Anolis sagrei: one gene and its partners. The protein of the gene in region 2 purifies or fractionates together with the protein of the main gene of each other region. This does not show direct contact. Links are inferred from orthologs where the notes say so. Each region holds a gene or a part of one and is shown on either strand. Other genes may lie near its edges.

What was found. Proteins that work in one complex are often made in the same cells at the same time.
Region 1: the proteins of PRMT5 (region 2) and RELA purify together in Homo sapiens (affinity purification with western blotting; 3 studies listed by BioGRID). This does not show direct contact. The link is inferred for Anolis sagrei from reciprocal best matches to the Homo sapiens genes PRMT5 and RELA.
Region 3: the proteins of PRMT5 (region 2) and SNRPD3 purify together in Homo sapiens (affinity purification with mass spectrometry; 3 studies listed by BioGRID and IntAct, with this or other methods). This does not show direct contact. The link is inferred for Anolis sagrei from reciprocal best matches to the Homo sapiens genes PRMT5 and SNRPD3.

What each region holds. Positions count from the first base shown.
Region 1 is NC_090032.1:9,831,167-9,839,371, forward strand, and holds the start of RELA (transcription factor p65), read right to left. Parts: upstream 3,101-8,205; 5' UTR 2,935-3,100; coding exon 2,880-2,934; intron 1-2,879. Other genes in the region: histone acetyltransferase KAT5, read left to right, coding at 3,408-3,419, 3,515-3,581, 7,082-7,150. UniProt on the Homo sapiens protein: NF-kappa-B is a pleiotropic transcription factor present in almost all cell types and is the endpoint of a series of signal transduction events that are initiated by a vast array of stimuli related to many biological processes such as inflammation, immunity, differentiation, cell growth, tumorigenesis and apoptosis.
Region 2 is NC_090026.1:9,495,074-9,503,118, reverse strand, and holds the start of PRMT5 (protein arginine N-methyltransferase 5), read right to left. Parts: upstream 3,255-8,045; 5' UTR 3,217-3,254; coding exon 3,089-3,216; intron 1-3,088. UniProt on the Homo sapiens protein: Arginine methyltransferase that can both catalyze the formation of omega-N monomethylarginine (MMA) and symmetrical dimethylarginine (sDMA), with a preference for the formation of MMA.
Region 3 is NC_090034.1:49,010,245-49,018,034, reverse strand, and holds the start of SNRPD3 (small nuclear ribonucleoprotein Sm D3), read left to right. Parts: upstream 1-4,690; 5' UTR 4,691-4,795; intron 4,796-5,594; 5' UTR 5,595-5,622; coding exon 5,623-5,748; intron 5,749-7,790. Other genes in the region: protein GUCD1, read right to left, coding at 471-636, 1,276-1,360, 3,891-3,978. UniProt on the Homo sapiens protein: Plays a role in pre-mRNA splicing as a core component of the spliceosomal U1, U2, U4 and U5 small nuclear ribonucleoproteins (snRNPs), the building blocks of the spliceosome.

The DNA of each region.
Region 1 (8,205 bases), on a different chromosome or scaffold from region 2:
AACTAGGCAAGTGGGGTTTATATATCTGTGGAATGATGTCCAGGGTGGGAGAAAGAACTCCCACATGAAACATGAAACAATTCCAGACAGGAAACAATCAAGGCCAGCTAACACCTCGTAAGAAAGCATTCACAATCATAAAAATTGGCTATGATGATGGATTCTGGAGGTTTGCAAGCAGAGGTTGGATGACCATTTATTGAGAAGGCTTTTTATGGTATCTTGGTTGGAAAGGGTTGGATTGGATGGTAATTTTGATGATGTTTATGTTTTGGTGTTATAAACAACAAACAACATCATCAAAATTACATAGACAAAGAAAAAAGTATATACAATAAAGGGGTTGCTTTCAAGTCTATGAATCAATAATCATAATCACAATCATAAAAATTGGCTATGATGATGGAGTCTGGAGGTTTGCAAGCAGAGGTTGGATGACCATCTATCGGGAGGGCTTTTTATGTATGGTATCTTGGTTGGAAAGGGTTGGATTGGATGGCAATAGAGGGGGTCGCTTTCAATTCTGTAAATCAATAAAAATAATAATCATGATCATCATCTTCATCAGCGATGATGATGGAGTCTTCTTCTCTGGAGGCTTATATGCAGAGGCTGGATGGCCATCTATCAGGAGGGCTTTGATTGTGTCTTTCATTATGGCAGAAGGGGGCTGGAATGGCAGGTCTTTGGGGTTCTCCAGTGGAATATGAATTGCCTTGGAGACTGGTGGCATCTCCTCAATATTTTTTAAAGCAGAGGCTGGATAGCTGTCTGTCAGGAGGGCTTTGATGGTGTCTCTATGGCAGAAAGGGACAGGAATGGATGGCCTTTGGGGTTCTCCAGTGGAATATAAACTGCCTTGGAGATAGGCGGAGCCTCCTTCTCTTGAAGTATGTTTGAAGCAGAGGTTGGATGGCAGTCTGTCGGGAGGGCTTCGATGGTGTCTTTCTTTACGGCAGAAGGAGGCTGGACTGGGTGACCTTTGGGGTTGTCCAGTGGAGTATGGGCTGCCTTGGAGACTGGTGAAGTCTCCTTCCCAAAGTTTTTTAAAGCAGAGGCTGGATGGCCATCTGCTGGGAGGGCTTTAATGGTATCTTTGCAGAAGGGGTTGGACAGAATGGTCCTCTTCTCTAGAAGTTTTTAAAAGTAGAAGCTGGATGGCCATCTTTCAAGGGGCTTTGATGGTGTTTTTCTGGCAGAAGGGGACAGGACTGGATGGCCTTTGGGGTTCTCCAGTGGAATATAAACTGTCTTGGAGACTGGTGGAGTCTACTTCCCAAAGTTTTTTTAAAGCAGAGGCTGGATGGCCATCTGTCGGGAGGGCTTTGATGGTGTCTTGGCAGAGGGGTTGAACTGGATGGTCCCCTTCTCTAAAAGTTTTTTTAAAGCAAAGGCTGGACATCCAACTGTCGGAAGGGCTTTAATTGTGTCTTAATGGCAGAAGGGGGCCAGAGACTGGTGGAGTCTCCTTCTCCGGAGGTTTTTCAAAGCAGAGGCTGGACGTCCATCTGTCGGGAGGGCTTTAATTGTGTCTTAATGACAGAAGGGGGCCAGGGACTGGTGGAGTCTCCTTCTCCTGAGGTTTTTCAAAGCAGAGGCTGGACGTCCATCTGTCGGGAGGGCTTTAATTGTGTCTTAATGGCAGAAGGGGGCCAGGGACTGGTGGAGTCTCCTTCTCCGGAGGTTTTTCAAAGCAGAGGCTGGACGTCCATCTGTCGGGAGGGCTTTAATTGTGTCTTAATGGCAGAAGGGGGCCAGAGACTGGTGGAGTCTCCTTCTCCTGAGGTTTTTCAAAGCAGAGGCTGGACGTCCATCTGTCGGGAGGGCTTTAATTGTGTCCTTATAGCAGAAGGAGGATAGAGACTGGTGGAGTCTCCTTCTCCTGAGGTTTTTTAAAACAAAGGCTGGACGTCCATCTGTCGGGAGGGCTTTAATTGTGTCTTAATGGCAGAAGGAGGCTACAGACGGGTGGAGTCTCCTTCTCCTGAGGTTTTTCAAAGCAGAGGCTGGATGGCCATCTGTTGGGAGGGCTTTAATTGTGTCTTAATGGCAGAAGGAGGCTACAGACGGGTGGAGTCTCCTTCTCCTGAGGTTTTTCAAAGCAGAGGCTGGACGTCCATCTGTCGGGAGGGCTTTAATTGTGTCCTTATAGCAGAAGGAGGCTAGAGACAGATGGAGTCTCCTTCTCCTGAGATTTTTTTAAAACAGAGGCTGGACGGCCATCTCTCGGGAGGGCTTTAATTGTGTCTTAATGGCAGAAGGAGGCCACAGATTGGTGGAGTCTCCTTCTCCTGAGGTTTTTAAAAGCAGAGGCTGGACCTCCATCTGTCGGGAGGGCTTTAATTGTGTCTTTATGGCAGAAGGGGTTTGGACTTGATGGCCCCCTTCTCTGGAAGGTTTTTCAAAGTAGAGGCTGGACGTCCATCTGTCGGGAGGGCTTTAATTGTGTCCTTATGGCAGAAGGAGGCTAGAGACGGGTGAACTCTCCTCCTGAGGTTTTTTAAAACAGAGGCTGGACGTCCATCTGTCGGGAGGGCTTTGATGGTGTCTTTATGGCAGAAAGAGGTAGAGACTGAGATTTTTAAGAAAGAGGCTGGACGGCCATCTGTCGGGAGGGCTTTGATGGTGTCTTGGCAGAAAGGGGTTGGACTTGATGGTCCCCTTCTAAGGAAGGTTTTTCAAAGCAGAGGCTGGATGGCCATCTGTCTTTATGGCAGAAGGAGGCCAGAGACTGATGGAGTCTCCTTCTCCTGAGGTTTTTTGAAATAGAGGCTGGATGTCCATCTGTCTGGAGGGCTTTGGTGGTGCCTTTATGTCAGAAGGGAGCCTTTGGAGCCCCCTCCCCTGAGCCTAGAGGAGGAGAGGAGCCCCCTACTCACCGTCCATGGTTGTGCTGCTGAACCCGCCCTGCATCTGGGCGAGGGGGTCCCCCATGGCCCGGGGGAGGAGGCCCGAGGAGCGAAGGCGGGCCTGAAGGCCTTCCCGAGCGGCGGCGAAGTCAGCCCACCCTCCCTCCCGCGGGGCCGCAGAGCTCTTCCGGGTCGGGGCCTGGGCCTAGCCGAAGCCTGGGGCTCGCCTGCCTGCCTGCCCGCCGGGAGCCGGAAGCCTGAGGGAGGCGTCGCGGGGCGGAATGGCTCCGTCCGAAGTGCTGCTGGGAAGGCCCCGCCCACTTCCCCCTGTCGCCGCCGCCTTTGGGTCTCTCTCTCTCGCCCCGCCCCCTTTATGCAAATCTGGAACCAAAAGGGGGCGGGACTTATGCAAACCCGGAAAGGGCGCGAGGGAGAAGTAGGAACCTAGAAGAACAACAACAAAGAAAATGGCGCCTGGCGGAAGTGGATTCTCTCCTCCCGGAAGTAGTTCCCGTCGATGCCGGAAAAGAAGGCCCTGACGAACGGCGAGGGTCCAAGATGGCGGAGGTGGTAAGTGAGGAAACCAGAAGGGATTTTTTGGAAAGGGAAAGGGAAGGGGAAAACGGTGGGAAACGCTGCCGGCTCCACATGGGTCTCCGTTGCAGGAGGAAGTCACCGAGGGCTGCCGCCTGCCCGTGCTGCGCCGGAACCAGGACAACGAGGACGAGTGGCGTGAGTGAGGGGCGGGGCTACAAGGCGGTGGGCGGGGCCAAGGGGTGTGATTGACGGGTTGGTTCCAGAGGTGAATAGCGGCGCCCATCTCGTTGGCGGGACTATAAAGTGGTGGGCGGGGCCAAGGGGTTGTGATTGACGGGTTGGTTCCTGAGGTGAATAGCGGCGCCCATCTCGTGGGCGGGGCTACGAGGCGGTGGGCGGGGCCAAGGGGGTGTGATTGACGGGTTGGTTCCTGAGGTGAATAGCGGCGCCCATCTCGTGGGCGGGACTATAAAGCGGTGGGCGGGGCCAAGGGGGTGTGATTGACGGGTTGCTTCCTGAGGTGAACAGCAGCGCCCATCCCGTGGGCGGGGCTACGAGGCGGTGGGCGGGGCCAAGGGGGTGTGATTGACGGGTTGGTTCCTGAGGTGAATAGCGGCGCCCATCTTGTGGGCGGGGCTACAATGCGGTGGGCGGGGCCAAGGGGTGTGATTGACGGGTTGGCTCCAGAGTTGAACAGCGGCGCCCATCTCGTGGGCGGGGCTACAAGGTGGTGGGCGGGGCCAAGGGGGTGATTGACGGGTTGGTTCCAGAGGTGAATAGCGGCGCCCATCCCGTGGGCGGGGCTACAAGGCGGTGGGCGGGGCCAATGGGGTGTGATTGACGGGTTGGTTCCAGAGGTGAGCAGCGGCGCCCATCTCGTGGGCGGGCCTACAAGGCGAGGGGCGGGGCCAAAGGGCGTGATTGACGGGTCGGCTCCAGAGGTGAGCCGCGGCGCCCATCTCGTGGGCGGGGCTACAAGGCGAGGGGCGGGGCCAAAGGGTGTGATTGACGGGCTGGCTCCAGAGGTGAAAAGCGACGCCCATTCCGTGGGCGGGGTTACAAGGCGGTGGGCGGGGCCAAGGGGGTGATTGATGGATGGGTTCCAGAGGTGAGCAGCGGCGCCCATCCCTTGAGCTGGCCAATCCCATTGGCATCCAGGATGGTCTGTCAGCAGGGAGTCCTGGCGCTGGGATCTGAATCCCTCCCAGGCGGATGGCTATTGTGTCCCTGAGAGTAAGTATGGTCTAAGGATATACACCCAGTCCATCACAACAATAGAAAAAAAATATAAAATGAAATAATAAATAAAATAATAACATAATATAGGATAAAACCATAAAATACAATAGTAAATAAAATAATTCTATAATATAATATATAAAACAATAAAATACAATAGTAAATAAAATAATTCTATAATATAATATATAAAAAATACAATACAACGGTAAATAAAATAATTCTATAATATAATAAATAAAATTATAATAGAATAAAATAAGTAAATTTATAATTTATAATTTTTATTATTATTATTATTATTTGCTTTATTTCTATACCGTATTTTTCAGCCCTTAACAGGCGACTCAATAGAATAGAATACAATAATAAATAAAATGTTAAAATGATTATTTTAATAAGTATAAAATAATCATAAATAAAATAGAAAATAAAATAATAAACGAAATGATTATTTCAGAATGTAATATACGATCAATAAAGTAATAAAATATTAATTAAAATAATTATAATCTAATAAATAAAATAATAAATAAAATAAATAAAATAAAAGAATAATAGTATATAAATATATATAATATAAATATAATATAAAAGAATAATATAATACATAAAGATAAAATACAATAGTAAATGAAATAATTTTATAACATACTAAATAAAATGATAATATAATAAAATAAGTAAATTTATAAAAGAATACTATAATAAATATAATATTAAAATAATTATGGGTTTTAATAAATATAAAATAATCATAAAATAAAAAATGAAATAATTATTTTATAGTGTAGTATATGATAAATAAAGTAATAAAATACTAATTAAAATAATTCTATAATATAATAAATAAATACAATAGTAAATATAATAATAAAATAATAGTAAATAAAACAATAATGTATAATATAATGTAATATAATCAATAAAACAATAAATACGATAGTAAATAAAGTAATTATATAATATAATAAATAAAACTATAATATAATAGAATAAGTAAATCTATAAGAATGCAATAATAATAAAGTAAAATATTAAAATAATTATGTATTTTAATAAATATCGAATAATAAATAAAATAATATATAATATAATAATAGTATAATATATTATAATACTATAATATAATAATAGTAAGTAAAACAATAATATAATGTAATCAATTAAACAATAAAATACAACATTAAACAAAATAATTCTATAATATAATAAAATTAGAATAGAATAACATTATAATAGTATACAATAACAAATATAATAAAAATAAAAAAATTAAAATAATTATGTATTTTAATAAATATAAAATAGTCATAAATAAAAATAAAATAAAATAATAGTAAATAAAACAATAATGTAATATAATATAATCAATAAAACAATAAAATGCAATAGTAAATAAAATAATTATGTAATATAATAAATAAAATTATAATATAGAATAAGTAAATTTATAATAGAATATACAATAATAAATATAATAATAAATAAAATAAAATAATAAATAAAATAATAATATAATGTAATATAATCAATAAAACAATAATAAAATAAAATAGTAAATAAAATATATAATACAGTAATTATAGTAATATATTTGCTATAAATAAAATAGTATATAAAATATATAATACAGTAAATATAGTAATAGTATAATTACTGTATTATATATTTATAATACAATAGAAGGGTGGTATATAAATGTCATAGATAAATAAATAGATTATAATTTATTTATTATATAATTATTTTATTTATTAATATAGTAATAATATAATAATAAAATAATGATATAATAAATAAATTATAATCTATTTATTTATCTATGACATTTATATACCGCCCTTCTCATACCGAAGAGGACTCAGAGCAGGTTACAAATTATATGCACATACAATATAATATAATAATAAAACAATAAATTATAAAAATTTAATACAAAACAATAATAAGTAAAATAAGATATTATAATAATAAAATAATAACATAAAATAATACGTTTCAACCATGAGTATTGATTTACATCCTGAAAATCCTTTATAGATCTATTGTGTATCTATCTGTGTTTGATGCAAGTTTTTCCAAACATATTTTTGCATTTTTTAAAATCTATGTAAGGTATTGTATGTATTGGAGTCCCAGTTGTGCAGTGGGTTAAACCATTGTGCTGGGAGGATCTGCCTGAGCGAATCTGAGGAGAGTGCGGATGAGCTCCCTCTGTGAGCTCCAGCTCCCCATGTGGGGACATGAGAGAAACCTCCCACAAGGATCATCAAAAACATTCGCGCATCCCCTGGGCAATATCCTTGCAGACAGCCGATTCTCTTACACCAGAAGCAACTTGCAGTCTCTCAAATCGCTCTTGGCATGAATATATATATATGAACATATATTATGTTCATACATTTTTGACTTTTGCTTTCCATAACAGAATGCTTTTTCTCTTCTATCAACAGCGCTGGCCGAAATCCTCAGCGTCAAGGACATCAGTGGCCGGAAGCTTTTCTACGTTCACTATATTGACTGTGAGTAGATACGGTGCCGATGAATCTATAGAGTGGGGAGAAGCCTACAAGGAAAATACTGAAATAGGACTTTCTGATGGGAAGGAAGTTTATGAAGACCAGGCTCATAGTATTTAGAAACTGAAATAATTTATTAAGCTCGTTTACTGTGTTACATCAAGGTGGACACTCATTCAGAAAGATTTTGTCCTATATATCTATATAAATAAAGATGTAATGTTCATTTGTGGGATTCACAGAACTCAAAAACCACTGGGAGAATTGACACCAAATTTGGACACAAGACACCTATCAGGCCAATGTATGTCCTTCACTCAAAAAAAAAATGATTTTGTCATTTGGGAGTTGTAGTTGCTGGGATTTATAGTTCACCTACAATCAAAGAGTATTCTGAACCCCACCAATGATGGATTTGAACCAAACTTGGCACACAGTTCTCCCATGACCAACAGAAAATACTGGAAGGGTTTCGTGGGGTGTCCTTTGGTTTTGGAGTTGTAGTTCACCTACATCCAAAGATGACTGTGGACTCAAATAATGATGGATCTGGACCAAACTCCACACGAATACTCAATATGCCCAAATGTGAACACTGGTGGAGTTTGGGGAAAATAGAATCTTGACATTTGGGAGTTGTAGTTGCTGAGATTTATAGTTCACCTACAATCAGAGAGCATTCTGAACCCCACCAACGATAGAATTGGGCCAAACCTCCCACACAGAACCCCCATGTGGGCCACAGCAACGCGTGGCAGGGGACGGCTAGTAACATTCACACAGTTAAAGGTGAAAGGTAATAGTGCAGTCCTGCAATATATGAAGCGCCACAGTAAACCTTTACCTTTATTATATGATATTATAACTATATATTTATATTACAGTAGCCGTCCCCTACCACACGCTGCTGTGGCCCTGTCTGTGTACATGTGTTTTGTGTGTGTTCATATTTGGACATACTGAGTATTTGTGTAGAGTTTGATCCAGATCCATCATTGTTTGAGTCCACAATGATCTCTGGATGTAGGTGAACTACAACTCCAAAACCAAAGGGCACT
Region 2 (8,045 bases):
ACTGTAGGTGAACTATAAATCCCAGTAACTACAAAACCCAAATGTCAAGGTCTATTTTCCCCAAACTCCATCTGTGGTCATATTTGGGCATATCATAGAATCGTAAAATCAAAAAGTTGGAAGAGACCTCATGGGCCATCCAGTCCAACCCCATTCTGCCAAGAAGCAGGAATATTGCATTCAAATCACCCCTGACAGATGGCCATCCAGCCTCTGCTTTAAAGCTTCCAAAGAAGGAGCCTCCACCACACTCGGGGGCAGAGAGTTCCACTGCTGAACGGCTCTCATGTTCAGATGGAATCTCCTCTCTTGTAGTTTGAAGCCATTGTTTTGTATCCTAGTCTCCAGGGAAGCAGAAAACAAGCTTGCTCCCTCCTCCCTGTGGCTTCCTCTCACATATTTATACATGGCTATCATATCCCCTCTCAGCCTTCTCTTCTTCAGACTAAACATGCTCAGCTCGTTAAGCCACTCCTCATAGGGCTTGTTCTCCAGACCCTTGATCCTTTTAATCGCCCTCCTCTGGCTTGTCAATATCTCTCTTGAATTGTGGTGCCCAGAATTGGACACAATATTCCAGGTGTGGTCTAACCAAAGCTGAATAGAGGGGTAGCATTACTTCCCTAGATCTATACACTAGGCTCCTCTTGATGCAGGCCAAAATCCCATCGGCTTTTTTTTGCTGCCACATCACATTGTTGGCCCATGTTTAACTTGTTGTCCACAAGGACTCCAAGATCTTTTTCGCACTGCTCTCGAGCCAGGCATTGTCACCCATTCTGTATCCTTGCATTTCATTTTTTTCTGCCTAAGTGGAGTATCTTGCATTTGTCACTGTTGAGCTTAGTTTTAGCCCATCTCTCTCATCTGTTCAGATCGTTTTGAATCCTGCTGCTGTCCTCTGGAGTATTGGCTATCCCTCCCAATTTGGTGTCGTCTGCCAACTTGATGATCCTGCCTTCTAACCCTTCCTCTAAAACATTAATAAAGATGTTGAACAGGACCATACTCAGGACGGAACCCTGCTTATATGGCACTCCCGAGGAAATACTGGGGAGCAGCCATTGGGTTCGTTCCCTTAACCAATTACAGATCCACCTAACCATAGTTTTGTCTAGCCCACATTTGACTAGTATGTTTGCCAGAAGGAAATGGGAGAACTTTTTGAAGGCCTTACTGAAATCCAGTTACGCTACATCCATGGCATTCCCTGCATCTACCCAGCTTGTAACTCTCTCAAAAAAAGAGATAAGATTAGTCTGACATGAATTATTTTTGATAAATCCATGTTGACGATCAACAAAGTGGAATAATAATCTTTTCATTCTTTTCAACGTGTTGCCTTAGAAGAACTTTGGTGGGGCCAAGGGCAAGGACCCAGCCAGGAAGACAAACACAAAAGTCCCCTCCCTCAGTGATTTCATCCTCTGATGAAGAGGACCTGTTGGAAGGGGCACTGTAAGCACTAGCAGCACATGATCATCAAGTTTGATCATCAAGCATGATCATCAAGTTTGCAGACGACACCAAATTGGGAGGGATAGCCAATAGTCCAGAGGACAGGAGCAGGATTCAAAGGGATCTTGACAGATTAGAGAGATGGGCCAAAACTAACAAAATGAAGTTCAACAGTGACAAATGCAAGATACTCCACTTTGGCAGAAAAAATGAAATGCAAAGATACAGAATGGGTGACGCCTGGCTCGAGAGCAGTACGTGTGAAAAAGATCTTGGAGTCCTCGTGGACAACAAGTTAAACATGAGCCAACAATGTCATGGGGCGGCAAAAAAAGCCAATGGGATTTTGGCCTGCATCAATAGGAGCATAGTGTCTAGATCTAAGGAAGTAATGCTACCCCTCTATTCTGCTTTGGTTAGACCACATCTGGAATATTGTGTCCAATTCTGGGCACCACAATTCAAGAGAGATATTGACAAGCTGGAATGGGTCCAGAGGAGGGCAACTAAAATGATCAAGGGTCTGGAGAACAAGCCCTATGAGGAGCGGCTTAGGGAACTGGGCATGTTTAGCCTGAAGAAGAGAAGGCTGAGAGGAGATATGATAGCCATGTATAAATATGTGAGAGGAAGCCACAGGGAGGAGGGAGCAAGCTTGTTTTCTGCTTCCTTGGAGACTAGGACGCGGAACAATGGCTTCAAACTACAAGAAAGGAGATTCCATCTGAACATGAGGAAGAACTTCCTGACTGTGAGAGCCGTTCAGCAGTGGAACTTTCTGCCCCGGAGTGTGGTGGAGGCTCCTTCTTTGGAAGCTTTTAAGCAGAGGCTGGATGGCCATTTGTCAGGGGTGATTTGAATGCAATATTCCTGCTTCTTGACAGAATGGGGTTGGACTGGATGGCCCATGAGGTCTCTTCCAACTCTTTGATTCTATGATTCTATGTGCACAGTTTAGAAGGTGTGCGGGAGGGCCTGTTCGCAGAGCACTTAATGCTTTTTTTCCAGAATCTTGCCTGGTATTGACGTGAAGCTGACAGGACAGTAATTGTTTGAGTCATCCTTTTGCCCTTCTTGAAGACAGATAGGGACCACATTTGCGCTCCTCCAATCTGCTGGGACATATCTGCGTGTGGACTCCGATAACAAAGCAGATATTGTGGGATTGTCTACCTTGATATTCTGGGATTATAGATCCACCTAGCCAATTACAGATCCTTTCTTTCCTCACCTCCTATCTTTTCCCCTTTTCTTTCTCTCTCTCTTTTCCTGTTTTCCTTCTTTTTTGCTTCCTTCCCTTCCCTTTACACACATGTCACTTAGCAGCAACCAAGCTACTTCACTCTTTTCCTTTCCCAGTGACATTATAGGGCTAGCAACAGATTGATAGATGATAGAGCAGGCCTGGGCCAACTTTGGGCCCTCTAGGAGTTTTGGACTCCAACTCCCATCATTCCTAACAGCCTCAGGCCCTTTTATTTTCTCCCTCAGCCGCTTAAGCGGCTGAGGGAGAAAATAAAAAGGCCTGAGGCTGTTAGGAATGATGGGAGTTGGAGTCCAAAACACCTGGAGGGCCCAAATTGGCCCAGGCCTGTTCTATAGTATGAAGCCACGTGGTTCTCCTCCTCACCCCTGCCGGGCGACCGCCCCCAGAGTGCTGGCCACTTCCGGGACGCAGTTGAGGTCTCTCCCGCAAGAGACGCGAGCCGCCGCCGAGCCGGGCCCGACCGAAGGCGCCGCCGCTGTGTTCGCCGCCATGTCCCGCCACACAGAGAAGCCAGAACCGTGAGCCCGCGCCCACTCTAGCACTTTAACCAATCCGCGGCCGTTTTACAGAAAGCAGCCAATCCAATGAGGCCTTTCAAAGCCAGAGTGGAGGGGGCGGAGTCAGCACCGGCCTAGCTAAACCAATCAAAATCCGAGCCGGAGTCAGTGACTGAGAGAGCATGAGGTAAAGGTTCTATTTCCCATCATGCACTCGGGAGGGGGAAAAAAGGCACATGACGGTGGAAGACTACACTTCCCAGGATGCATCGCGAAGCAGGCAACGCTATGGAATGCCTTATAAGGGAGGAGGTGGAATGCTCTGTTTGTGTCTGAGGGCCAGTGGCGCAATGGATAACGCGTCTGACTACGGATCAGAAGATTCTAGGTTCGACTCCTGGCTGGCTCGAAACAGACTTAACTTTTCTTCATTGGAAACTTTAGCAAGAGTAATTAAGATTCTGACCTTCTGATCTTCCAAACACATATTAACAGTTAAACTACAAGGAGGTTGAGTGCATTCTTAAAAGGGGGGTTACCACATTTACAATGTATTTCAAATGAATTTATTTCCAATTTTATTTATTTATTTACACTGAATTTATTTCCAATTTTATTTATTCATAATTTATTTACAATTTTATTTACTTATTTATTTACAAAATATTTACAATGAATTTATTTCCAATTTTATTTATTTATTTAAAATTTATTTACAATGAATCTATTTACAATTTTATTTATTTATTTATTTACAATGTGTTTAGAAAGAATTTATTTACAATTTTATTCATTTGTTTATTTACAATTTATATACAATAAATCTATTTATAATTTATTTATTTATTTATTTACAATTTTTGTATTTATTTATTTACAATTTACTTATTTACAATTTTATTTATTTATTTACAATTTATTTATTTATTTATTTACAATTTATTTACAATTAATTTATTTACAATTAATTTATTTACAATTTATTTATTTATTTACAATATATTTACAATGAATTTATTTACAATTTTATTTATTTATTTATTTACAATGAATTTATTTATAATTTTAGTTATTTACTTATTTACAATGCATTTATTTACAATTTTATTTATTTATTTACAATATATTTACAATTAATTTATTTACAATTTTATTTATTTATTTATTTAAAATTTATTTACAATTTTATTTATTTATTTATTTAAAACTTATTTACAATGAATTGAGAATGAAATTCTTGTTTATTCACATTTGGTAATACAGTTTATCCCTTATCTGAAATGCTTGGGATACAAAGTGTTTTGGATTTTGTTTTTTTACATATACAAGATAATAATAATAAGAAGAAGAAGAACTCAAGAATGGAAAATGGAACGTTGGTGAACAGGAAAAGAGATTTAAAGATGGGCTCAAAGCCAACCTTAAAAACTCTGGCATAGACACTGAGAACTGGGAAGCCCTGGCCCTTGAGCGCTCCAGCTGGAGGTCAGCTGTGACCAGCAGTGCTGCAGAATTCGAAGAAGCATGAATGGAGGTTGAAAGGGAGAAACGTGCCAAGAGGAAGGCGTGTCAACCCAACCCAGACCAGGACCGCCTTCCACCTGGAAACCAATGCCCTCACTGCGGGAGGAGATACAGATCAAGAAGAGGGCTCCACAGTCACCTACGGACCCACCTTGGAGGATTATCCTACTCGGACAGCGAGGGATGGCCTAAGTAAGTAAGTAAGAAGAAGAGTTCAAACTACTCTGGGACTTCCGAATTCAGACAGACAAGAGTTTTGGAACACAACACTCCATACCTCACGATCGTGTTAAGAAACAAAGTATGGATCATCAATGTAATCCTGGGTGATAGCAGGATTGAAGGGAAACAACTGGAAAAGTTGGAAAAGCTGACACGATATGAGGATTTAAAGATCGAACTGCAAAGAGTCTGGCACAAGCCAGTCAAGGGGGTCCCAGTGGTGATCGGCACACTGGGTGCAGTGCTTCAAGACCTTGGCCTGCACTTAAAAACAATCGCCACTGACAAAATAACCATCTGTCAGCTGCAAAAGGCCACCTTACTGGGATCTGCACACATTATTTCTATTTATTTAGGGCATTTATATCCCGTCCTATCTCATCTCCGCAGAGGGACTCAGGGAGGCTAACAACCGGCACAGCACAGTGCCCACAATAAGAAAAGCATAAATATACATAATATAATATAATAAAAACAGTTTAGTACCATTTAATATTTGTATTGTTGACTGGAATCACTGGGTTGTAGGTTTTTTCAGGTTATATGGCCATGTTCTAGAGGCATTCTCTCCTGACGTTTCGCCTGCATCTATGGCAAGCATCCTCAGAGGTTGTGAGGTTGGAACTAGGAAAATTGGGTTTATATATCTGTGGAATGACCAGGGTGGGACAAAGAACTCTTGTCTGCTGGAGCTAGGTGTGAATGTTTCAACTGACTGCCTTGATTAGCATTTGATGGCCTGAATCTGGAACTTCCAGATTCAGATTTGCAACCATAAAATTATTTTTGTTCCTACTTCATAACTGTAATTTTCCTACTATTATGAATTGTAATGTAAATATCTGATATGCAGGATATATTAATTAACTGGATGGAATTCGGCACAAATACCCGATAGGCCCAAATTTGAATACTGGTGAGGTTGGAGTGGGGATTGATTTTGTCAATTGGGAGTTGTAGCTGCTGGGATTTATAGTTAGCCTACAATCGAAGAGCATTCTGAACTCCACCAACAATGGAATTTAACCAAACTTGGCACATAGAACTCCCATGACCAACAGAAAATACAGAAAGGGTTCAGTGGCTTTGACCTTGAGTTTTGGATTTGTAGTTCACCTACATTCAGGGAGCACTGTGGACTCAAATAATGATCGATCGGACCAAACTTGGCACAAATACTCAATGTGCCCAAATGTGAACACTGGTGGAGTTTGGGAGGAAATAGACCTTGACATTTGGGAGTTGTAGTTGCTCGGGTTTATAGTTCCCCTACAATCAAAGAGCAGTGTGAACTCCACCAACAATAGAATTGTTGCCCAGCTTACCTGTCTGAACATATCTCCCTCTATGAATGTTCTGTTGCGTGCTGGACCTGTAAAGAATTTCCTTTTAGAACAGGACGTGCAACCTTTGCCCAGCGGGAAGCCAGGGGGCCCAAGGAGAAGTTCTCAGAGGTTTTCCACCACAAATGATCTTTAGATGGCTTGTGAAGTATAACAAAGTATTTTATTAATGAAGAATCAAACAGAAACTTCTCTTGTCTTCAATAAAGCTAAACAAATGATTCCAGACTTTAATGCAACTGGTAGCTTCCTAAACTTGCCCATGAAGGACAGGCAACTGCCTTCAATAACTTCTTCTTTACTTTAAAGGAAAATCCCCTTTTTAACTTCTCCCTGGCTGACTGTAATCTAACCCTTACTGATGTGGGCTCCGCTACCGGGTTGAACTGCTTCTCGAACGCCGAGTGAACCTACCAGTAAAGGTTTAGATGTTCTCCAGCTGGAGTTCTTTGGTCTTTAGGGCTGTTTCCCTGAAAATCTTTGGAGACTCTTAAGACTGTTCTCCCGGAAAGTCTTAAGGGTTGAAGCTTTTGTACAGGGGAAGCTTGCACACGTCCTGTACATTAGCTTTCCTTGCTGAGACTAACTAAAATTGGCTCCCTTCCCGATGATGGACAGGTGACTTGCCCTACGACTGCAACCAAAGAAAGCCACCTATCTGCAGAGTCCCTGCAACCTTGGACTGCAAGCAACATCTAATACAAAGTAAATACAGTTGGAGCTCCTGGTATAGCTGTACCAGCACAATGAACCATCTCAGAGATTAAGGTAATTTGGGGAGGCCCTGCTCTTGGTTCCACCTTCCTCGCAAGTGTGATTGGTGGGGACGAGAAACAGGGCCTTCTCAGTACTTACTTACTTATTTAGCGATCCCTCGTTGGACGAGTAAGATGGTCTTCCATTATGGGTTTTCCTGTGGGTCCGCGTGTGGCTGCGGCGCCCTATTCTTGCTCTGCATCTTCTTCCGCAGTGTGGACATTGGTTTCCAGGTGGAAGGCGGTCCCGGTCGGGGTTGGCTTGATGCGCCTTCCTCCTGGCACGTTTCTCTCTTTCACCCTCCACTCGTGCCTCCTCAAATTCTGCAGCACTGCTGGTCACAGCTGACCTCCAGCTGGAGCAGTCAAGGGCCAGGACTTCCCAGTTCTCAGTGTCTATGCCAGAGTTTTTAAGGGGCCATCTTTAAATCTCTTTTCCTGTCCTCTAACATTCCGTTTTCTGTTCTTAAGTTCAGAGTAGAGCAACTGCTTTGGGAGACGGTGGTCAGGCATCCGGACAACGTGTCCGGCCCAGCGGAGTTGATGTTGGAGGACCATCGCTTCAATGCTGGTGGTCTTTGCTTCTTCCAGCACGCTGACGTTTGTCCGCTTGTCTTCCCAGGAGATTTGCAGGATTTTCCGGAGGCAGCGCTGATGGAATCGTTCCAGGAGTTGCATGTGACGTCTGTAGACAGTCCACGTTTCACAGGCATATAGCAGGGTTGGGAGGACAATAGCTTTATAGAGAAGCACCTTGGTCTCCCTACGGATGCCTTCTCAGTGGTGGGTCTTTGACTATGGAACCCCCACCAACAATAGAATTGGGCAAAATTTCCCACACAGAACCCCCATGACCAACAGAAAATACTGTGTTTTCTGATGGTCTTTGGTGACCCCCCGACACCTCCTCGTGACCCCCCTCAATGGTCCCGATCCCCAGGTTGAGAAACACTGATCTAGCCCAACTACATAGAATTCA
Region 3 (7,790 bases), on a different chromosome or scaffold from region 2:
GAACAGCTCAAAGAGGCTTGTGCTGGGGGAAAACCTGCCTCCTTTGGCCTTTTCTGAGGGAGAAGAGGCCTCTTCTGAGAGAAAACAAGCATTTTGGGGCCTTTTCTGAGGGAAAGCAAGCCTCTTTGGGCTTTTTCTGAGGGAAAATTGCCTCCTTTGGCCTTTTTTGAGGCAAAGGATGCCTTATTGGGCCTTTTCTGAGGGAGAAGAGGCCTCTTCTGAGAGAAAACAAGCATTTTGGGGCCTTTTCTGAGGGAAAGCAAGCCTCTTTGGGCTTTTTCTGAGGGAAAATTGCCTCCTTTGGCCTTTTTTCAGGCAAAGGATGCCTTATTGGGCCTTTTCTGAGGGAGAAGAGGCTTCTTCTGAGGGAAAAACAGCCTCCTTTGGCCTTTTCTGAGGGGAAACCTGCCTTTGGGGCCTTTTCTAGGGAGAAACTGGCCTCCTTTGGCCCCTTCCGAGGGGAAGGGTACCTGGTTCTTGTAGCCCTTGTCCACCCCAAGGGTCTGGGTGCAGAAGCGGTGCCGGACCCCAAAGTGGCGCATGAGGTAAGCCAGGTCGATGGTCCAGATGCTCTTGGTCAAACCAAGCTCCTGGACAGCCCTCTGGAACTCGGCGTCATCAAGGAGGTTCAGGTACCTGCCAGGAAGAAGTTGTAAAATATTTTGGTGGCACTATTATATAGAATAATTAATATAATAAATATAACGTAACAATTATATAATTATTATAAATATTTATTATATTATAATGTAATTATTATATTATCATTATACTACAATTTTAATAATACTATTATTCCATTGTACTTTAATATAATAACTAAATCATTATATTATATTAGTTTGTAATTAATATAACTATTATATGATAATTTAATAATTATACTAGGTATAATAGTACTATTATATTATTGTTTTTATTATATTATTGTTGTAAGATTTATATTCTTTCATTATATTCTTTTTCTATTCTACTGTAATATATTTATATTGTTAATATAATGTACCAATTATATTATATTCTTTCATTATTCTATTCTATTAAATTACTATTATAATATAATTGTCATATTATTATATTGTTTAATTGGGATATTGTTGAATTTTATTTTAATTATATTATATTATTATTATAATATAAATGTATAATGTTATTTCAATGTATTATTATTCTATTAAAATTATACCATCATAAAATATAATACTTATATCCGTTCATCGTGTTATTTGCATATGTGTAATGAGGTCACAATTATGAGACGGCTGTCGCACTCACTTGAGGACCATCCTGGAGCAGGCCAGGCCGCAGTCCCAGTGATAGAGCTGCTGGAGGACTGGAACGTTCAGCTGCACTATTCCCACTGCAGTGCAATATCCGTGCGAAGCATGTCCCCGTCGTGTGAGGGAAAAGACACAAGGCGTTTATACTTCATGGGAACCACTCAGGACTACTGAGGAACAACTAAACTGCAGGAAGGGAGGTCCGTGCTAAAGGCGTTCGCAAGCGTGTGAAGGGCATTGCAGTTGTGCAAGGGGGTGTTACAATCATGCCAGGAACAGTGAGACCTTGCAGTTAGTAACCGCACTTGTGCAAGTGACAGTACACAAATGGATTGTACAGTCGTGTGAATGGCATTCCAGTTATTATGCTCGTGCAGCAGAGGTTACAGTTGTGTAAGGAACGTTACAATCGTGTGAGGCATTATATGATGGTGTGAAGGATGTTACGGCCATGAAGGGAACTTGACAATTGTGCAAAGGAGGTTACAACTGGGCAAAGAAGGGAGGTTACAATTGTGTGAGAGGTGTAACAGTGCAAGTGACATTGTACCAATGCAAGGGGCACTATAATAGTGTGACAGGCATTAAGTTCACGCAAGAGGTGTTATAATAGTGTGAGGAGGGATCATGATCCAGTATAGCAACAGTGCAAGGGGGGCATAACAGTGCGAGGGGCATCATGATTCAATGTGAGAATCACACTAGTGCAGGAGGCATAATAATATTGCAAGGGGCATTATGATCCAGTGCAAGAAGCATCACAATAATGCAAGGGGGTGTGATAATAGTGCAAGGGGGTATCACGATCCAGTGAAAAGCATTGCGACAGCACGAGGGGCGTAATAATAGTGCAAGGGTGGGAATTATGATCAGGCGCAAGAAGAATTGCAAGCAGGTGTAATAATAGTGCGAGTGGGACACAATAGGCCGGTTGTTAGCCGCCCTGAGTCCCTCTGTGGAGGTTGAGATAGGACGGGATACAAATGTCCGAAATATATAAATTATTTATTTATTTATTTATTTGGTAGTTTTGTATACCGGTCTTCTCACCTCCATTCGAGGGACTCGGGCCGGTTTCCAACATCAATATTACAGACCGTCATCAAAACATCATATTTCTAAATCACACTAAAACATTAAAACATTGAAACAATTAAAATAGCAAAAATACAATCGTATGATTACACTGGTCAGTCGTCATCAAAGTCATTATTCGTCGTCATCCATCCATATCACAGGATCATGGCTCATTCGCTGAATGCCAGTCCCCAAAGCCAGGTTTTCACCTGTTTCCTGAACGTTAAGATCGAAGGGGCAGTTCTGATCTCCAGTGGAAGGGAGTTCCAGAGTCGAGGGGCCACCACCGAGAAGGCCCTGTCTCTCGTCCCCACCAGCCGCGCCTGTGAGGCCGGTGGGATCGAGAGCAGGGCCCCTCCAGACGATCTTAGTAATCTTGATGGCTCATAGGGGAGGATACGTTCGGACAGGTAAATTGGGCCGGAATAAAATAAAATAATAGTGTGAGGGGCATCATGAGCCAGTGTGAGAAGCACTGCAAAAGGGCGAGGGGTGCAATAATAGCGTGAGGGGCCCCTCACAATCAAGTGTGAAAAGCATCGCAACAGTGTGAGGGGGCATATTAAACGGTGCAAGAGACATCATGTTCCAGTGTGAGAATCGCAATAGTACAAGGGGTGTAATAACAGTGCGAGGGGCATTACGATCCAGTGTAAAAAGCATCGCAATAATGTGAAGGGGCATAATAATAATGTGTGGAGGCGCAATGATCCAGTGTGAGTGGCATCGCAGTAGTGTAAGGTAAGGTAAAGGTAGTCGGCCTATGAGCCCACGAGGACTTTGAGATCTTCCGGGGAGGCCCTGCTATCGATCCCGCCTGCGTCACAGGCACGGCTGGCGGGGACGAGAGATAGGGCCTTCTCGGTGGTGGCTCCTCGGCTGTGGAACACCCTTCCCGTAGACATCAGGCTAGCCCCCTCCCTGTTGATTTTCCGCAGGAAGCTGAAGACCTGGCTGTTTAAGAAGGCATTTGAATAGAAGTGCAATGACTGGTAACTTGACCATGGAATGGAACAATAGAAATGGTATTGGATTGTGAACTTGACGATGAGACGACTCGGAATGACTTTGTAATAATGTTGATGTTTTTGATGAGATGTTTTGCTAATGATGTACTGCGGATTATTTGTCACTATGTCTTGTATTTTGCACCTGTTTTTCTATGTTGTACACCGCAATGAGTCGCCATTAGGCTGAGAATTGCGGCATATAAGCGTAGTAAATAAATAAATAAATAAATAGTCCCCTGACATTAAGTCCAGTCATGTCTGACTCTGGTGTAGTGTAGTGTAAGCGCGTGTAATAATAATGCAAATGGGACACAAAGTGCAAGGGAAAATTACGATTCAGTGTGATAAGAGTGCAAAGGGGCATAATAATAGTGTGAAGGAGCACTATGGCGGTGCCAGAAGCAGCATGAGGGGTATGCTAACACTCCCTGCTCCTACTCAGAGACCCTTCCTGTCTTTGCCCCCCCTCCCTTTGCCCTCAGTGACCGTGCCCTCTGCGCATGCTCAGGGGCTCACCACCGACCTGAGGGCGGGGTCTGGGCCTCTTCTTCTTCCTCCTCTTCTTCTTCCTCCTCTTCTTCTTCCTCCTCCTCTTCTCTGGGGCTCTTCATGGCTCTCTGAAGGCAGGCAGGCAGGAAGGGAAGCCTCCCTTCCTCGCTTCCTGCCGGGCTCCGCCCCTGGCCACGCCCCTGGCCACGCCCCTTGCGGCTCACTTCAGGCCTGAAGAGGTGAGGAAGGCCCCGGCTCCGCCCTTTGTCCCCAAGCCCCGCCCCTTGCCTTTGTGGCCCTGGCTCCGCCCCTTGCATTTAAGACCAAGGCCGTAGCTCCGCCTCTATCACTAAGCCTCGCCCCTTGCGTCTAAAGCCAGAGGATTGGAAGGCCTTGGCCCCGCCCTCTCTCATCAAGCCCCGCCCCTTGAGACCAAGAGAAGGAAGGCCCTAACCTCGCCCCCTTTCCCGAAGCCACGCCCCTTCCGAAAAAGGCCTTGCCCCGCCCACTATCCGATAAGCCACGTCCCTGGCGTTGTTTTGAGTCCTACGGAGCATGCGCATGTCTTGACCACCTTCACTCCAATGGAAATACCATCTCAAGACGCACGATATTGGAATCCGTTCGTTTATGAGGCAAACACAAAGCGGAACTGTAGTCGCCGCCCTTGGGTCTCCCCGCCGGAGCCCAAAAAGGACCGCACCGCTCGTAACCATAGAGTCCCGTAGCTTTCTATTGGAGAGGTGGAAAGGATAGAACGTCATGACTTCCGGTATTAACCGGAAGCCGTTGCTAAAAGTTCCGCACGGAAATCTATGGTTTAAAAAAAGAGCGCGGGGTGGCGGTGGAGCGGACGACACTTCCGCTTCCTCCTCTTCCGCTTTGCATGCTGGGAGGCCGGGCTTTGATCGAATTCACGCTGTAGCGACATCCGAAATCGTACGAGAGAAGGCTTGTTCTTTATTATTGAAGATTATCATATAAAATAGCATAAGAAAGTGTAATAATCTAGAATATATTATATATATATATTAACTTACTATAAAATAAGGTAGTATAACGATAGATGATCGAATATATAATATAGTATGTATATAGTAACATAATATAAAATAAGAGAGTATCATAATCTAGAATGTAATAGAATCTAATACATAATCTATAATATACTATATAATAACCTAATATAAAATAAGACAATGTAATAGCATATCGTATATTACATTTTCTTTTGATTTTATTACAATTATTATTGTATTTTCTTATATATGATGTTATATTGCATTATTATATTTTCTTTTGATTATATTATTATGAGTTCTACGTTATTACATTTTGGACTTTATTGTGATTATATAGTATATTATATTGCTATATTATATTATATTATAATAATTATGATATTTTCCTTGATTATATTATTTTATTGTTTTGTTCTTTTTGTCGTGTCAGGAGTGACTTGAGAAACTGCAAGTCGCTTCTGGTGTGAGAGAATTGGCCGTCTGCAAGGACGTTGCCCAGGGGATGCCCGGATGATTTGATGTTTTTATCATCCTTGTGGGAGGCTTCTCTCATGTCCTCATGTATGAGGAGCTGGAGCTGATAAAGGGAGCTCATCCGCCTCTCCCCGGATTCGAACCTGCGACCTGTCAGGGTTTAACCTACTGCACCACCGGGGGCTCCTTGTTGGGGCCCCTGTGAGCTCACTTCCTGTCCCTCCCTTTTCTCTCCTGGCCAGCTGTCCATCACCCACTTCCATCCTTATCATGTCGATCGGGGTCCCCATCAAGGTCCTCCATGAGGCTGAGGGACACATTGTCACTTGCGAGACAAACACCGGGGAGGTCTACCGCGGGAAGCTCATTGAGGCCGAGGACAACATGAACTGCCAGGTATCAATGGCTTATTGATTAATTTATTATTATTATTAATATATTGTTATCTGTACTGTCAAAGGCTTAATAATAACATTGTTATCTGCATTGTCGAATAATATATTATCGTTATTATATTTATTGTTGTTATAATAAGAAGAAGAATCTTTATTTCTATCCTACCCTATCTCCCCAATGGGGACTCAGAGCGCTTCTCAAGATACATGGAGCAGCAACCATTCAATGCTGTAAAGGGCGACCGACAGTAAAGACGACAACCAGTAGTTAAATAATACACCTTCATCACATAATCATGGAATATTACAAATAATTAAATGACACTACAAATCCATTTTAACTGGACTTATTTTAATTAGATTAATAAAAATTAAAAACATTAACATTTAAAGGAGAGAAACCAGAAGATTACATTATATATTACATTCTATTAAAATTATCCGAAGTGGACAAGAATAGCACAGGATCATATATGTGGACAGAGAAAGGCATAAAAGAATATTAAATATATATATGCTTACTACTAATAATAATATCCAGATGTAAGCTTATTATATTTGTTGTTGTTGTTGTTATATTTATTGTTGTAATTGTAATTATAGTAATAAACTTTATTTGTATCCCTCCCTATCTCCCCAATGGGGAAACATTCAGTGCTGTAAGGTGCAACCAACAAATCAAAAAACTACCATGAATTAAATAATAACACATTACACATCAGGTATTAATAACAATGTCTTTGCTATTAATTTTGTTATTAACCGTGGTAGCACAGTGGTTAAAGCTGCTAGCTGCAGGAAAGGCTGTTAACCGGAGAGTCAACTGTTTGAAGCCACGAGTCAGGGTAAGCTCCCAACTGCTCTAGCTCCTGCCTACCTAGCAGTTTGAAAGAATGCAAGGCAAGTAGATCAGTAGGTACCGCCTCAGTGGGAAGGGAAAAGGGCACCCCATGCAGATAAACAGACATGCCGGCAATACAATTAGAGAAGTCTATGGAAAACAGGCTCCTCAGCATGGAAAATGGAACAAGATCACCTTCAGTTGAGTATCACCTCCAGATGCCGGAGATGGGAAAAGGCGGAAGCCCTTGACCTTTGTCTTATATGTCTTTGTTCACTGTGTGTGTAAAAAGGCATTGAATGTTTGCCTCATATCAGTATTGTAATCCGTTCTGAGTCCCTCCGGGGAGATAAAGTGGAATATAAAGATTATTATTATTATTATCAGGTAATAATCATGTTACATTTATTGTATTTATTATTGTTATAATTATATTGTTGTTACAGTATTATTATTATTCTATATTATTATTTTCAGGCAATAATGATGTATTTAGTATTATACTTATTGTTATATAGTATTATAGTGTAGTTATTATATATTATTATTTTCAGGCCATCATAATGATGTATTTATTAGATTATTTTCTATTTATTAATAATAGTAATAAAACTATTACTACTTTTGCTACTCATGGTGGTTTCCAATAATAATATTTATTATTATATTATTGTGATATTTCTATATTATTATTTTCAGCTAAAATAATGATGTCATTATTATATTTATTATTATTATATTATGGCTATTGTATATTGTTATTTTCAGGCAATAATAATGATGTATTTATTAATATATTTCTTATTGTTATATTTCTTCTTATTGAATGATTGATTTTTTTAATGAAAAATCAAACCGTACAATTCACCATTCTGGACAAGGTGGCAGGAAAGGTATAACAAATGAATAGACAATGACTCCACTAAGGCTGAAAAATCCACTAATTTGAAGACTACTGTGAAGTTATTGCATGAATTACAATGAAGTTTTTACCGGGAGCAAGAGTTAAGGCTATTTTGCTTTCTTTCTAATCAGTACAAGGAAACTGTTGCCTTTTATCATTACAAACAGTGATACTAAGATTTGTTAATATTTTAAAACACATTTTCTTAAAAAATATGTATGAATGAATACATTTTCTACTAGGCTTTTATTTATGTCTGATTTTTGGAATGGTTTTTAAGCAACATTGTAAAACAAGT